Linked DNA regions of Cricetulus griseus. The protein of the gene in region 1 purifies or fractionates together with the protein of each later gene. This does not show direct contact. Links are inferred from orthologs where the notes say so. Each region holds a gene or a part of one and is shown in the gene's direction. Other genes may lie near its edges.

What was found.
Region 2: the proteins of Rpp40 (region 1) and Rpp25 purify together in Homo sapiens (affinity purification with mass spectrometry; 3 studies listed by BioGRID and IntAct, counting the BioPlex papers as one, with this or other methods). This does not show direct contact. The link is inferred for Cricetulus griseus from reciprocal best matches to the Homo sapiens genes RPP40 and RPP25.
Region 3: the proteins of Rpp40 (region 1) and Pop4 purify together in Homo sapiens (affinity purification with mass spectrometry; 3 studies listed by BioGRID and IntAct, counting the BioPlex papers as one, with this or other methods). This does not show direct contact. The link is inferred for Cricetulus griseus from reciprocal best matches to the Homo sapiens genes RPP40 and POP4.

Annotation. Positions count from the first base shown.
Region 1 is NC_048596.1:255,639,192-255,643,541, reverse strand, and holds the start of Rpp40 (ribonuclease P protein subunit p40), read left to right. Parts: upstream 1-1,462; 5' UTR 1,463-1,500; coding exon 1,501-1,623; intron 1,624-3,173; coding exon 3,174-3,318; intron 3,319-4,350. UniProt on the Homo sapiens protein: Component of ribonuclease P, a ribonucleoprotein complex that generates mature tRNA molecules by cleaving their 5'-ends. Also a component of the MRP ribonuclease complex, which cleaves pre-rRNA sequences.
Region 2 is NC_048597.1:169,124,910-169,127,701, forward strand, and holds Rpp25 (ribonuclease P protein subunit p25), read left to right. Parts: upstream 1-1,478; coding exon 1,479-2,078; 3' UTR 2,079-2,263; downstream 2,264-2,792. UniProt on the Homo sapiens protein: Component of ribonuclease P, a ribonucleoprotein complex that generates mature tRNA molecules by cleaving their 5'-ends. Also a component of the MRP ribonuclease complex, which cleaves pre-rRNA sequences.
Region 3 is NC_048599.1:152,153,526-152,157,758, forward strand, and holds the start of Pop4 (ribonuclease P protein subunit p29), read left to right. Parts: upstream 1-1,370; 5' UTR 1,371-1,599; coding exon 1,600-1,606; intron 1,607-3,666; coding exon 3,667-3,719; intron 3,720-4,233. UniProt on the Homo sapiens protein: Component of ribonuclease P, a ribonucleoprotein complex that generates mature tRNA molecules by cleaving their 5'-ends.

The DNA of each region.
Region 1 (4,350 bases):
AATAACAAGTCTCTATATCATTATCTGGGAGCTGGTTGGTGGGACAGGGAAAGACTTGCCACAGAGTCCCAGGCCAGTCAGGATATATAATGAGACCCTCTCTCCAAACAACTCAACAACTGGATTCAAAGCTACTGAAATAGGTAAAATGCTGGGTGATTTCAGAAGTTTACCAGTAAAAATAAGCCCTCAAAAACAGACGCCAACAAAAGGACATGGAGAGGAAAGTCAGCTGCACACATATGTTTAGCAAAATAGATGAGAAAAATCAACAATATGGCTTTTAAAAAAATCAACTACTTGGAAGTACAATTCAGCAAAAAAACTGAGATTTGGGGGGAAATGACACAAGTAGAAATGTTGTAAATGAAAAAATAAATCATACAATCAAAACGCAAAACAAAGGCAACCTGGTGGAAGTAGAAATACCACAATATTTCCCCCCACTTTTCGGTAGGGCTCAGTGGGAACTTAGTGTTATTGTTTTGTTTAAAAAGAAGAAAAGAGAAATGCTGAGACATACATATTGACTATAAGTTTATTATAAGGCCTGGCAGAATGGGGAGACTAAGAAGAGGAACAGGGTAAATGGCTGACCGACTGGCCGGTGGCCATAGAGAGACAGAGCGGGGGAAACAGAGAGAGGGGAACAGAGCGCCCAGAGAGCGGGACAGAGAAACAGAGAGCGTAAATGGGCAGGTGCCTATCTTTTAAAGGGTTCCTCTGCACCTCCATGCAGACTTAGTTCCCATGGAACCTTGGGTTGACCAGGGTTCTGCCTGAGTGGATTCCACCAGGTAACAGGGGCAGGCCAGCATAATGCCTGAACCTTTCACTTAGGGGCCTGTGGGTAGGTGTGCACTAGGAAGGAGACCATGTGAGGAGTGAGGAAAGTGTGTCGCAAAGCAGGTGACTTTCCTGACTACTGGACCTTTGCTGTGTCTTGTCATCTTTTAAAAATTAATTTTTATTTAAATTAAAATCTTATTTTAATACCAATCCCAGTTCCTTCTCCCTCCCGGCTTCCCATTTCCCCCTCCAACTCCCCATCCCAATCCCCAAGTCTGTCACATCATTTGGGGTAGGACCTCGGCCCTCCTGCGTGTATCTAGGGTGAGAGAGTCTCCCTCCACAGGGATTATCATCCCTTTTATAACGTGGCAGAGTACAGCCTTCTCTGAGTCCTGCTCAGGTATGCGCTGTTCCTCCCCTGAGAAGTCTGTGGAATGGAATGGATGTGTCAGGTCCTCGAGAACCTTCACAGTTCTTTACAAGCCTAATAAAGCTCATTCAACTCCTACCCAATGCCCCTAGGAACTGACAGCAAAGGGGAAGCAAGGAAGGGTTAGGGGCGTGGCTGTGGCAATAGAAAGGGCAAATGGTGGAGTGAGGGGCGGTCCGGGAGGCGGGGCCGACAGGAAGGCGGGGCATCCGAAAGGCGGGGCGATCCGAAAGGCGGGGCGATCCGGAAGGCGGGGCGACTCAAGACTCGTGCTGAACATGGCCACGCTGCGCCGGCTTTTCGCCGCTCCGCGGCACTTAATGGTCTGTGAGAAATCCAACTTCGGCCACGAAAAGTCTCGTCACAAACAACACGTGGAGACTCATTATCACAATTACAGGGTGAGTCAGGTCCACCCGGCCTTCTTTGGTTTAGGGTAGAGCCTCTCTGGGTTTCCCTCGGCGGGACCTCCTCGTCTTGAGGGGGCGGACAGAGTCTGTCGCCAAGCATGCTGGGGACTGTAGTCTCTTTAGTTTGCCGAGCGCCTTTCTTGGAGGCGTGTAGGACTGCAACTCCCAGCATGAGCTGGGACGCAGGGTGGTGCTCCGCCTTTAAGGAACAGCGCAGTGTTGTGTTGGTTTTCTGAGTTTGGCTGGTAATTGCTGGGTTCAGAACTGGTTCTCCCACTGTCCGCGGTAGCCAGGTGAAGGGTTGAGCAGGCCCCGAGGAGTTAGGAGTATGACATGTAGCTGCCTTTTGCCCTAAATTTAGGTTTGGTCTCTCCGTAGCTCCGTTTATGCCTCTTTCCAAAATACTACCGGGTTTGACTGACAAATAAGGAACTCCAAAAAACTCGCCTGAAGACGATAAGGGCTTACGCTTTTTACACCTTAAATATCGGCTTGATAACGTTTCTCAGAAACATTAACCGGCGTCCTTGTTTCTCAGGCGCAGGCTGGTTGTTGGAGCTTTGCGAGACGGACTTTAGATGTGCCCTTGGGGATCATTTGAGATCCGCGCGGATTTTACTTCTCCACTTGGTTGAAATCTCTGACTGTTACTTAACGTTTGTCTACAAAAATGGGAGCATCCAGGAGCACTTCTGTTTCTATGTCTCTAAACACCTTATGCTCCCAGGAACAGTTCCTTTGGTTTTCTGTGACTCCAGAGTAAACAAATCAAGGCATGGTGAATTACACTGTACTTCCTTGAATATAAAGTGTGAAGGACATAACATGTGCTCCTCATGTGCAAAAGATAAAATTTAAGCAAGACTTCCATTACATTTCTATTTAGTCACTCGCCGCACATTGCAATGTAGAAATGAGAAACTTGGAGTAATCAAATATGTTTGCCTGAGATTGATAGATTAAAAAATCTGTTCCGGGTTGGGTGGTGGTGGTATACACCTTTAATCCCAGCACTCCAGAAGCAGAGGGGCCAGCCTCGTCTACAAAGCCGATTCCAGGACAAGCTCCAAAGCTATACAGAGAAGCCCTGTCTCAAAACACCAAATGAAAAAAAAAAAAAGATTTGTTCCTAGCAGGGCAGAGGTGGTACACACCTTTAATCCCAGACAGAGGCAGGTAGATCTCTGAGTTCAAGGAGAAAAAAAAAAATTTTTTAAGATTTATTTAATTATTATGTACAGTGTTCTGCCTGCATGTATGTCTGCAGGCCAGAAGAAGGCACCAGATTTCATTACAGATAGCTGTGAGCCACCATGTGGTTGCTGAAAATTGAATTCAGGACCTTTGGAAGAGCAGGCAGTGCTCTTAACCACTGAGCCATCTCTCCAGCCCCAGGAAAAAAAAAATTTAAAAGACTTTTGCCTGTGTTTGTATGTTCCAGTAAAACCTGTGAAGGAATAGCTAGCAATTTTCATATTTCACTCCTAAAAACATGATGTTAATAAAAGAATGACTTTGCTTGTACTTTTATATTCCAACAGGTTTCATTTCTTATTCCTGAATGTGGGCTGCTACCAAAAGAACTGAAAAGCCTGGCCATGGAATTTGGGCCCTATTACTCTGTGAAGAATTTACCTCTTCATGAACTAGTTACACATGAGTTCATCCACACATTTGTAAAGAAAGGTAAGAAAAGGCACTCAGGGATCTAAGATATAGATAAAAACTACTTCACTTCTACTACTAATACTACAGCTATTAAAGAATTAGGAAGAATGTAAACATCTTATGACAGTTCAACAATATAAAGGAACTCGAATTTAATTATCAGGACTTTTTTTCAGATACCTCATTAATGAATCCTAATTTCATTCCACCGGAGTAAAATAATTGAATTACTTAACTTACTTGGAAATCATGTTATGCCCAGAAAAGAGTCCATTTTGGTAAACTGCTGATCCATGATTCTTGTTGGGTGGAATACTTTCTAAATACCTATCTAATCACGTTGGCTGGAGTAGTCAAGTCCACCATTCCTGCTGAGTTTTTACTTGCTTTTTTAAATTGATTATTGAAAGAAAATACTCACATTGCCTTCTGTAATAATTGTGGATCTGTATATTCCTCTTTGCAGTCTGTCAAGTTTTCCTTCATACATTTTGAAGCTCTCTTATTTGATGTATACATGTTTAGGGCTGCTGACTAACTGGCTCCTTTATCATGCCATGCCCTTTATCTCTGTGATACTAACAAAATTAATCCAGTGTTGTCTGGCTAGTCTTAGTATGGCATATAAAAAAACTTTACTGAATTTTAACCAGTTGAGACCATGTATTCAAAGTGTGTTTTGTGTTTATTTTACTTCATTTTAATTGATAGTAAAAGTTACATTTATGTATACATAAAAGAAAAGGCACTCAGTGTCTCATATGAAAAAGGCAAGATGAAGAGCTATGGGAAAGACCATAGTAAAATACTGAAGTTCTTCACTTGTTTTCAAAAGGTCCTGCAGAGGATAGACCATGTATGTGGTTAGCTGCATGTATCACTTCTCCATCTGTCCATAGTGTTCAGTCTCCTCTTTCCTGTGTCCTCTTCAGGTGATGGCTAAGTATCTTACCAAATTTGATTAGCCTTTGCAACAACTCAGTGAAGAAAGTCGAATCCATACTTAGCAGATGAGGAAAAATTAAGTAGCTTGATTATTAACTTAGTTGA
Region 2 (2,792 bases), on another chromosome or scaffold:
TCTGAGCTGCGAGGGGCCGAGAACTGTCACCGATAGCTAAGAGTTAGAGGAGGGCCAGGCAGCCCTCACCTAGACTGAAGCTGTGCCCATCCAGGTACCGTCGTGCTCACAATACCCTCGGGGTCACCTGCTCCCTACAGCCTTCGGTGCTTCTTCCTTGCCCTCGCTTTAGCAGGTCTGTCAGGCTCCCTGCATTCTGTGAAAGCCAGGCTGGAGACTGAAGGACATGCATGGTCCCTCCCTCACTCCTTATGAAAGATTCTTCCTCCCACCAGTCCTTCGTCCCTAGCCGTGTCTTTCTATTGTTCATCTCACCTCGCAGCAGAGCCCGAGCCTCTCCTTATGCTCGATGGAGTTTCCAGAGGTTACCCCAAATCCCAAAATCCGCCCCCAAGGCTTCAACTCCACCCCGCTTCCCATCTCTCAAAACCTCTCAGTCCCTTTCAGCAAAAACAGCCCTCTGGATTGCTAGGAGCCAAGACTGATTCCTCATGGGTTTGGAAGTGATAAATCCGTGTCGGCAGGGACTGAGCCAGGCAGATAAGAATGCGTGCAGCTCTAGTAAAGGACCTTCAGGCATGAATACATACAACAACGTTAACGCCTTGGAAGAAATGGTCTCGTTTTCTTCCCATTCACTTTAGGCTGGCCCTGCGCATCACTTCCTGCATTTCAGGGGTGTGAGGGTACCAGGAGCCTGGAGGTCTGGCTAAGAAGAGCGAGGCTGAAACCTAGATAGATCTCTCTAAGCAGCTAGGCAAGGACCATGCTGCGACGTAGCGGTCCGAATCCTAGGAAGGCGCAACGTGTAGCGGAGCCAACTCCTCTCACACCCTGCTGACCATGCACTGGCTGTCCTTGAGGCAAGAATACTAAGGAGAGAGAGGGGGGGTCTCTGGAGGGTTGGAGGAGTGAGGCCCCGGGAGATGGTTCGGAAATCTCTTACCTAGGAGGGGGTCTAGGGATGCCCTTGAGCTGGAACCCCCAAGGCTCGGGAACCGGGTTTGAATCGGCGTCTGTACCTCAAGCATGGTTTTTTATTTAGGTTGCTCCTACGTGAGGACTGGTTCAGGGAGGACCGATGGTTACTTCGGGAAACTTCGCCTCCCAAGTCACCCCTGGCGCTGTGACCCCAGCCGCTGAGCACTAGCGCTTGATCCCAAAGGCTGGCTGGGCTGGGACTCGGACAAGTCACGCAGAGTTGGGGCGGGGCCTGGACGAAGGGGCGGGGCCTCTCGGGCTCCCAGGCGGAGCTTCTGCTAAAGGCGCGGAGCACAAGGCGCCGAGGGCTCAGAGTAGAGCAGCACCACCCGGTAGGAATCTGGGCTGGAGACTGCGTGTCCACAGCCCACCCTCAGCTTCCACTCGGTGCCGGCATCCCAACCCCTACCGGCCGTCGCCCGGCGCGACCCCGGCCATGCAGCCCCGGGCTTGAAGCGACCCCATGGCAAAACCTGCGATCCCAGCGACGACGGCGCATGGAGAACTTCCGTAAGGTGCGCTCGGAGGAGGCGCCGGCGGGGGACGGTGATGAGGGTGGCAGCCTGAACTCTGGCCCTTTCGCAGACCTGGCGCCCGGTGCTGTACACATGCGGGTCAAGGAGGGCAGCAAGATCCGCAACCTGCTGGCCTTTGCCACCGCCAGCATGGCGCAGCCAGCCACGCGCGCCATCGTCTTCAGCGGCTGCGGCCGGGCCACCACCAAAACCGTCACGTGCGTCGAGATCCTCAAGCGCCGCCTGGCGGGCTTACACCAGGTCACGCGGCTGCGCTACCGGAGCGTGCGCGAGGTGTGGCAGAGCCTCCCGCCTGGGCCCACGCGGGGTCAGACGCCTGACGATCCGGCCGCCAGTCTCAGTGTACTTAAGAATGTACCGAGCCTGGCCATCCTACTTTCAAAGGACGCATTGGATCCACTACAACTCGGCTACCAGCCTCCGAACCTCAATCCTGGTCCTTCGTCCACTCCTACGGTGTCGACGTCCAAGAGGAGCCTGGGGGAATCTGCTGCTGGAGAAAGCACCGCTAAACGGTCTCAGCCTGAGCCAGGGGCTGAGAATGAGGACTCGACCGCCTGAGAACTCCTGGCTCTGAGCCACCTCAACACTCCCACATCCTCGTGCACTTTCATACCAAGGTTTTAAGGGGCCCATGTTCCTGGACTGGAAGATTGACAGCAGGGATCCCAAGGCGACCAGAGAGGGAGCTCAGGAATGATAAGAGGATCCCCTGAAGTCCAAGAAAACTTTGTGGGAAGTGTTGCCAGAAGCCACAGAACTCCACCCCCACTTTTTCTAGGCCATCCTGGGATCTTTTTTAGTGAAGCATGGTGGATAGTGAAGACTCTTGAGCCTTCTTGGGGACCCAGACTTTAAAAGCACCCAGAATGCGCAAAAACTGACAGTTGAGGGTCTTGAAATCATTCTTGCTGTTTGTTGACTGAGGGCCGGGGCTGCGACGTAGATTCCTTGAGGGTGGCCAAGTTGAAAATGTTAGGACCCTATTCTGCCCACTCACCGCCTGGCAATTCCCCTTTTTAGCTTTTCTTCCTCTTAGCATCCCCCCCCCCCCTTTTGCATGGTGGTGGATAGGAGACCCAGGACAAAACTTTCCACGCCTCCTCCCCTGAGTCCTACTGCTGGAGTCTTGCTTCCAATAAAACAAACATGAAAATGGCTCTGTCCCCAGAATTGTTTTTTGTTTTTTCCTTACCTACCCGCCTGTGCAGAGACACTTTGGCATGCTTGCCTTCAACCTTATTAGCCTTTGGAGTGTTCAAGGTCAGACACAGC
Region 3 (4,233 bases), on another chromosome or scaffold:
CTACAGAGGGAGACTCTGTCTCAAACAAGTGATCAGGTGTACATTATGGAGTTCACATGTTATGAGCTTTCAAGGGCACTTTCTCAAATACACTCTGATAGATGCTAAAATAGTTGCAGGCCTTTGTAAAGGAAACACATTTAGTGACCATCCTGCTGTTATCAGGCTGTCCCCAAACTCTAAATCCTATGTGCCTTACCATGTCCTGTACTGCTTAAGATCAAAATGGCACACACTTATCACCCAAAGATCTACAAAGCCTATGTTTCTTAAACAAGGATGCGGTGTTGTTTGCCCAAGTTTTTCTGAGAATTCTTTTTGCCTTTAAAAGGTTGCATAGTGCTCACTATTAAGAAAACCACTGCTTTCCCTTACCCACCCTCCAAGTTAGATCCAGCACTCAGGAAATTAAAGGCAGTGTCTGGACAGAACCAAGGCAACCTGAGCAGGCTTGGCTGGACCTTTGGATTCCAGAGAATCACTTTTTGTCTTTTATCATACTGACAGCACCAATTCTCCCAGTCTCAAGGATGCTTTTTGGGTTGGATGCAGGAAGGGAAGCCTACACAGGAATACTCCATTTCCAAGATCAGCCTAGGCTACATAGCAAATGTCTGGGCTACTCAGGGAGACTTTGTCTTTAGAGGAGAAAAATAAATTTAAAAAGCAAGTGTTCTGAGACCAAAGCCAGCTAAAGTTACTCTCTCTTTTCAGTCATAGGAAACAGACCCTTAAACGAGGTGATAAAAGTACTTAGTAGCTGAAACAGATGTAAATCCCCATCATCATTACACAATGTGACTAGTAATACTGTGAATGAATTCTAGGACAGCCATGGGCATTGACTCCCTTGCTTAAAAAATAAATAAATAAATAAATAAATAAATAAATAAATAAATAAATAAATAAATAAAACTGAGGGTTGTGGCAGTTGCCTTTAATCCAGCACGCAGGAGGCAGAGGCAGGAGGATCTCTGAGTTTGAGGCTGCCTGGTCTACAGAGTGAGTTCCAGGTCGGGCAGCGCTGTTAAACAGTGGAAACCCTGTCAGGGAAAACTGAAGGGAAAACAAAACTCCAAAGGACTCCTAAACCCTCACTGCAGCCATTACCTCCGCTATTTCAGGCGCATTCGGGCCTTCCTGGCCCCAGTCTCCCTGGCGTCCTCTTCAGGACAGCTCGCCTCCTGTGTTCCTGTGTTCTGACCCGCAACCCGACTGTGGCCGCCAGGGGGCGACACCAACTGAAGAGACAGCGAAAAACAGGCTCCGCTCCGCCAGCCACAGACGCGGCCGCCTCCCTCGCCCCTCCCTCGGCTGCAGAGCCAAACACAAGGCGCATGTCCGCCAGAGGCCGGCGCGGCTCCATGACGTCACGCGAGGCGCCATAGCGGAAGTCAGATCGGGGTCCATTGAAGTACTGGAGCGAGTCTGTGTGTGGACTGTGCCCGCGTCGTTTCTTGGGCACAGCGGATTTGTCCAGCGGAAATTTCAACCAGAAAGAGTCCCGGTGGCCGAAAGCTGCTGAAGAGAGCTAATAAAGGGAAGCAGTGAGCGAGGCCCGAAGGAGACTTCACCAGAGCTCGCGGGAAGCCGCCGACAATGAAGGGTCAGTGTCACGAGAGATTCGAAATCGGGGTGGATGACAGCATAGAGGGTCGGGAATGGAAGCCGAATCAGGGATCCTGTCACAACAGAGTCCCGAGACAACTTCCAGGCAACTGACTCAGTACACAAAAGCAGTCGAGGCCCAGAGTGTGAATCGGCCAACTCAGTCTCTAAGCTGGAATAGATGTCAGGATGAGTGTGTGGTACCCCAGGGAACTGGTGACGCTCAGGAGAACTGGAAGAGGTGCAGCCAAGGCCTTTAGCTTGTCCTGACCACTGCCTGCCTGTATAACTATTGCTCCCTTCCACATCCTGGCTTTTCACCCTTTCTCTTATAAAAAGCTTCCCGGGCGCAGTGTCACAAACCTAAGGCGTTGGTATTTGAGCAGAAAAGGGATGAGCCAGGAAGGGAAGCAAGCACTGGAGCGGTATTAGAGCAGAGAGAGCACAATGTAAAGATTAAGCCTCTGATCTAATGATTTCCACCCCTGCTGTGTCCTTTCATCCTCTGATGCCTTGGCATGACTCAATGTCAATATTATTATGTGCATACAAGGAAATAATTATATTCCGAATGGCTTAGAAAGGTTAATGAGATTGAAATAAATTATATACACACCTATGAGTATATATATGTACTTATGTATGCATGTATGTATGCATGTATGTGTTGCTGTAAAACAAGTACTTGACAAGCACTGAGTGTACCAGAGCTGTCACATGTGTACTGCAGCAGGAAGTCTTCCAGCTCTCATGCTAGGCATCTGCAGTAGGTAAAGCAACATTATTCCTGGGGTCCCAGGCCCTGCACATTTTCCTCAAGAAACAAAGTATAGTCTTAATCTGCAGTTCAAGGGAGAACTAAAGATTTTGTATGTAAAACTGGTAACTCTCTGGTCAGACATGTACCCAGGGAAGCACAAGAGAACAGACATGGGCTTTTGTTTGTTGGTTTGTTATTGTAGCTGTTGGGATGAGGTCAGCTATGTAGTCCTGACTGAGCTGGGACTCACTATGTAAGCTAGGCTGCCTCACCCTCTGAAGTGATGGGATCAACTGTGTGTGCCACCACACCCAGCTCAGAGACTGAGTGTATAGGGTGTAGTGTGAGCTACATATTCTGGTCATTTGCTCTTTCTTATCTCCTTTATTCCTGTACTCTGCCCCCACCACCATGGTGGTTTCCTCCAAACAAATACCAAACAGGAGCATGAGGTTTAGAGAAAGTTTGGCATCATGCTGGACATATTTAGAATTTGAAGAAAGACTGTTGTATCTATCTGGTCAGGGTACATTCCAATTTTATGGATTAAAGACTTAAAAATCTGTTTTAAACTTCTTGTACTCTGCAAATTGTTCAGTTTCAATCAACCACACCCTAGCCATTAATATCACCTCACTTTTAGTGTCTTCACTACTAAGTGAGCAACCACCCAAGCATAATTATAACTTGTATTTTCAATCAATCAATGTGCACCATTGAGGAATTTTTTTGGACATGCAGAGTCTAGAGTAGAAATTAAAACCGGTGTCTTTATAAGAGTCCAGTGATTCTTAAACAAGTTAAGCTTTGAGAGGTGCTCTTTTAAACCTCATCCTGGGAATTTCCAGGACAAATCTCTGGCCAAGGGAAGAGTAAAATGTATCTGGGATAATTGTGGTGGTACACGTGTATAATCCAGCAACTAGCACTTGGGTGCCTAAGACAGGAGTACTGAGGGTTTAAGGCCACTGTGGGCTATATAGCGAACTCTAAGCCAGCCCAGGATACAAACTGAAAGCCTGTCTTTAAATAAATGTGTAAATAAGCCGCATTGAGTAGGGTCGGGGGCATGGATCCATGGTGAAGCCTGCCCTGCATTAAACCCCACTGAGTTTAATCTCCTGGCACTGCAGAGTATAATAGAAGGATCATCCAAGAAAGCTTTGCCTTTTCATACTAACCCAGTAGTCCTCATCTGAATAAGAGTGCTTATTCAGAAGTCATAGTTGGAAAAGCCTTGGATATTATACTCACTCCTCACAGGAAGTAATCTTCTCTTTTTGTCTTTTATCCCCCAGCTGTGATTTACCATGCCCTTTCTCATAAAGAAGCCAAAGAGCACGATGTACAGGTACAATCTTTGAAAGGTGGGCTGGGAGCAGGAGACGTGGCAACAAAGATGGCTCAGAGTCTGGTCTAGCTGTCCTTCCCATGGATTACTTCTCATCTTTACATTCAGTACATTAGGCCCCATCAAGGTCTTTAGTGCTGATGTCTTCTTGTGCCAGGCTCCTTTCCTAGGGTACCAGAGTCACTCTGAGGGACTTGGATTCCTTGATTTCATGTCATCTCCCACTCTGTAGGGAATGACAGTGACAGCCTGTGCCTGAAACCTCTCTTGTTCTTGCTTCTCTGCCCTGTTCAGTGTGCTCAGCCTATTTCATAAGTGAATGTTACAGATTCTATCTGGGTATGTCAGCAAGCTTTGTCAGTTGGGCTGAAGCTTCACATGTGGCTCATAAAGAGAGCATATTCTGCCAGGCTGTGTGGAGCTTGCCTTTAATCCCGGCACGTGGGAGGGAGAAGCAAGAAGCTGTCTCATTTCAAGGACAGCCAGAGCTACACAGAGAAAACCCGTTCCTGAA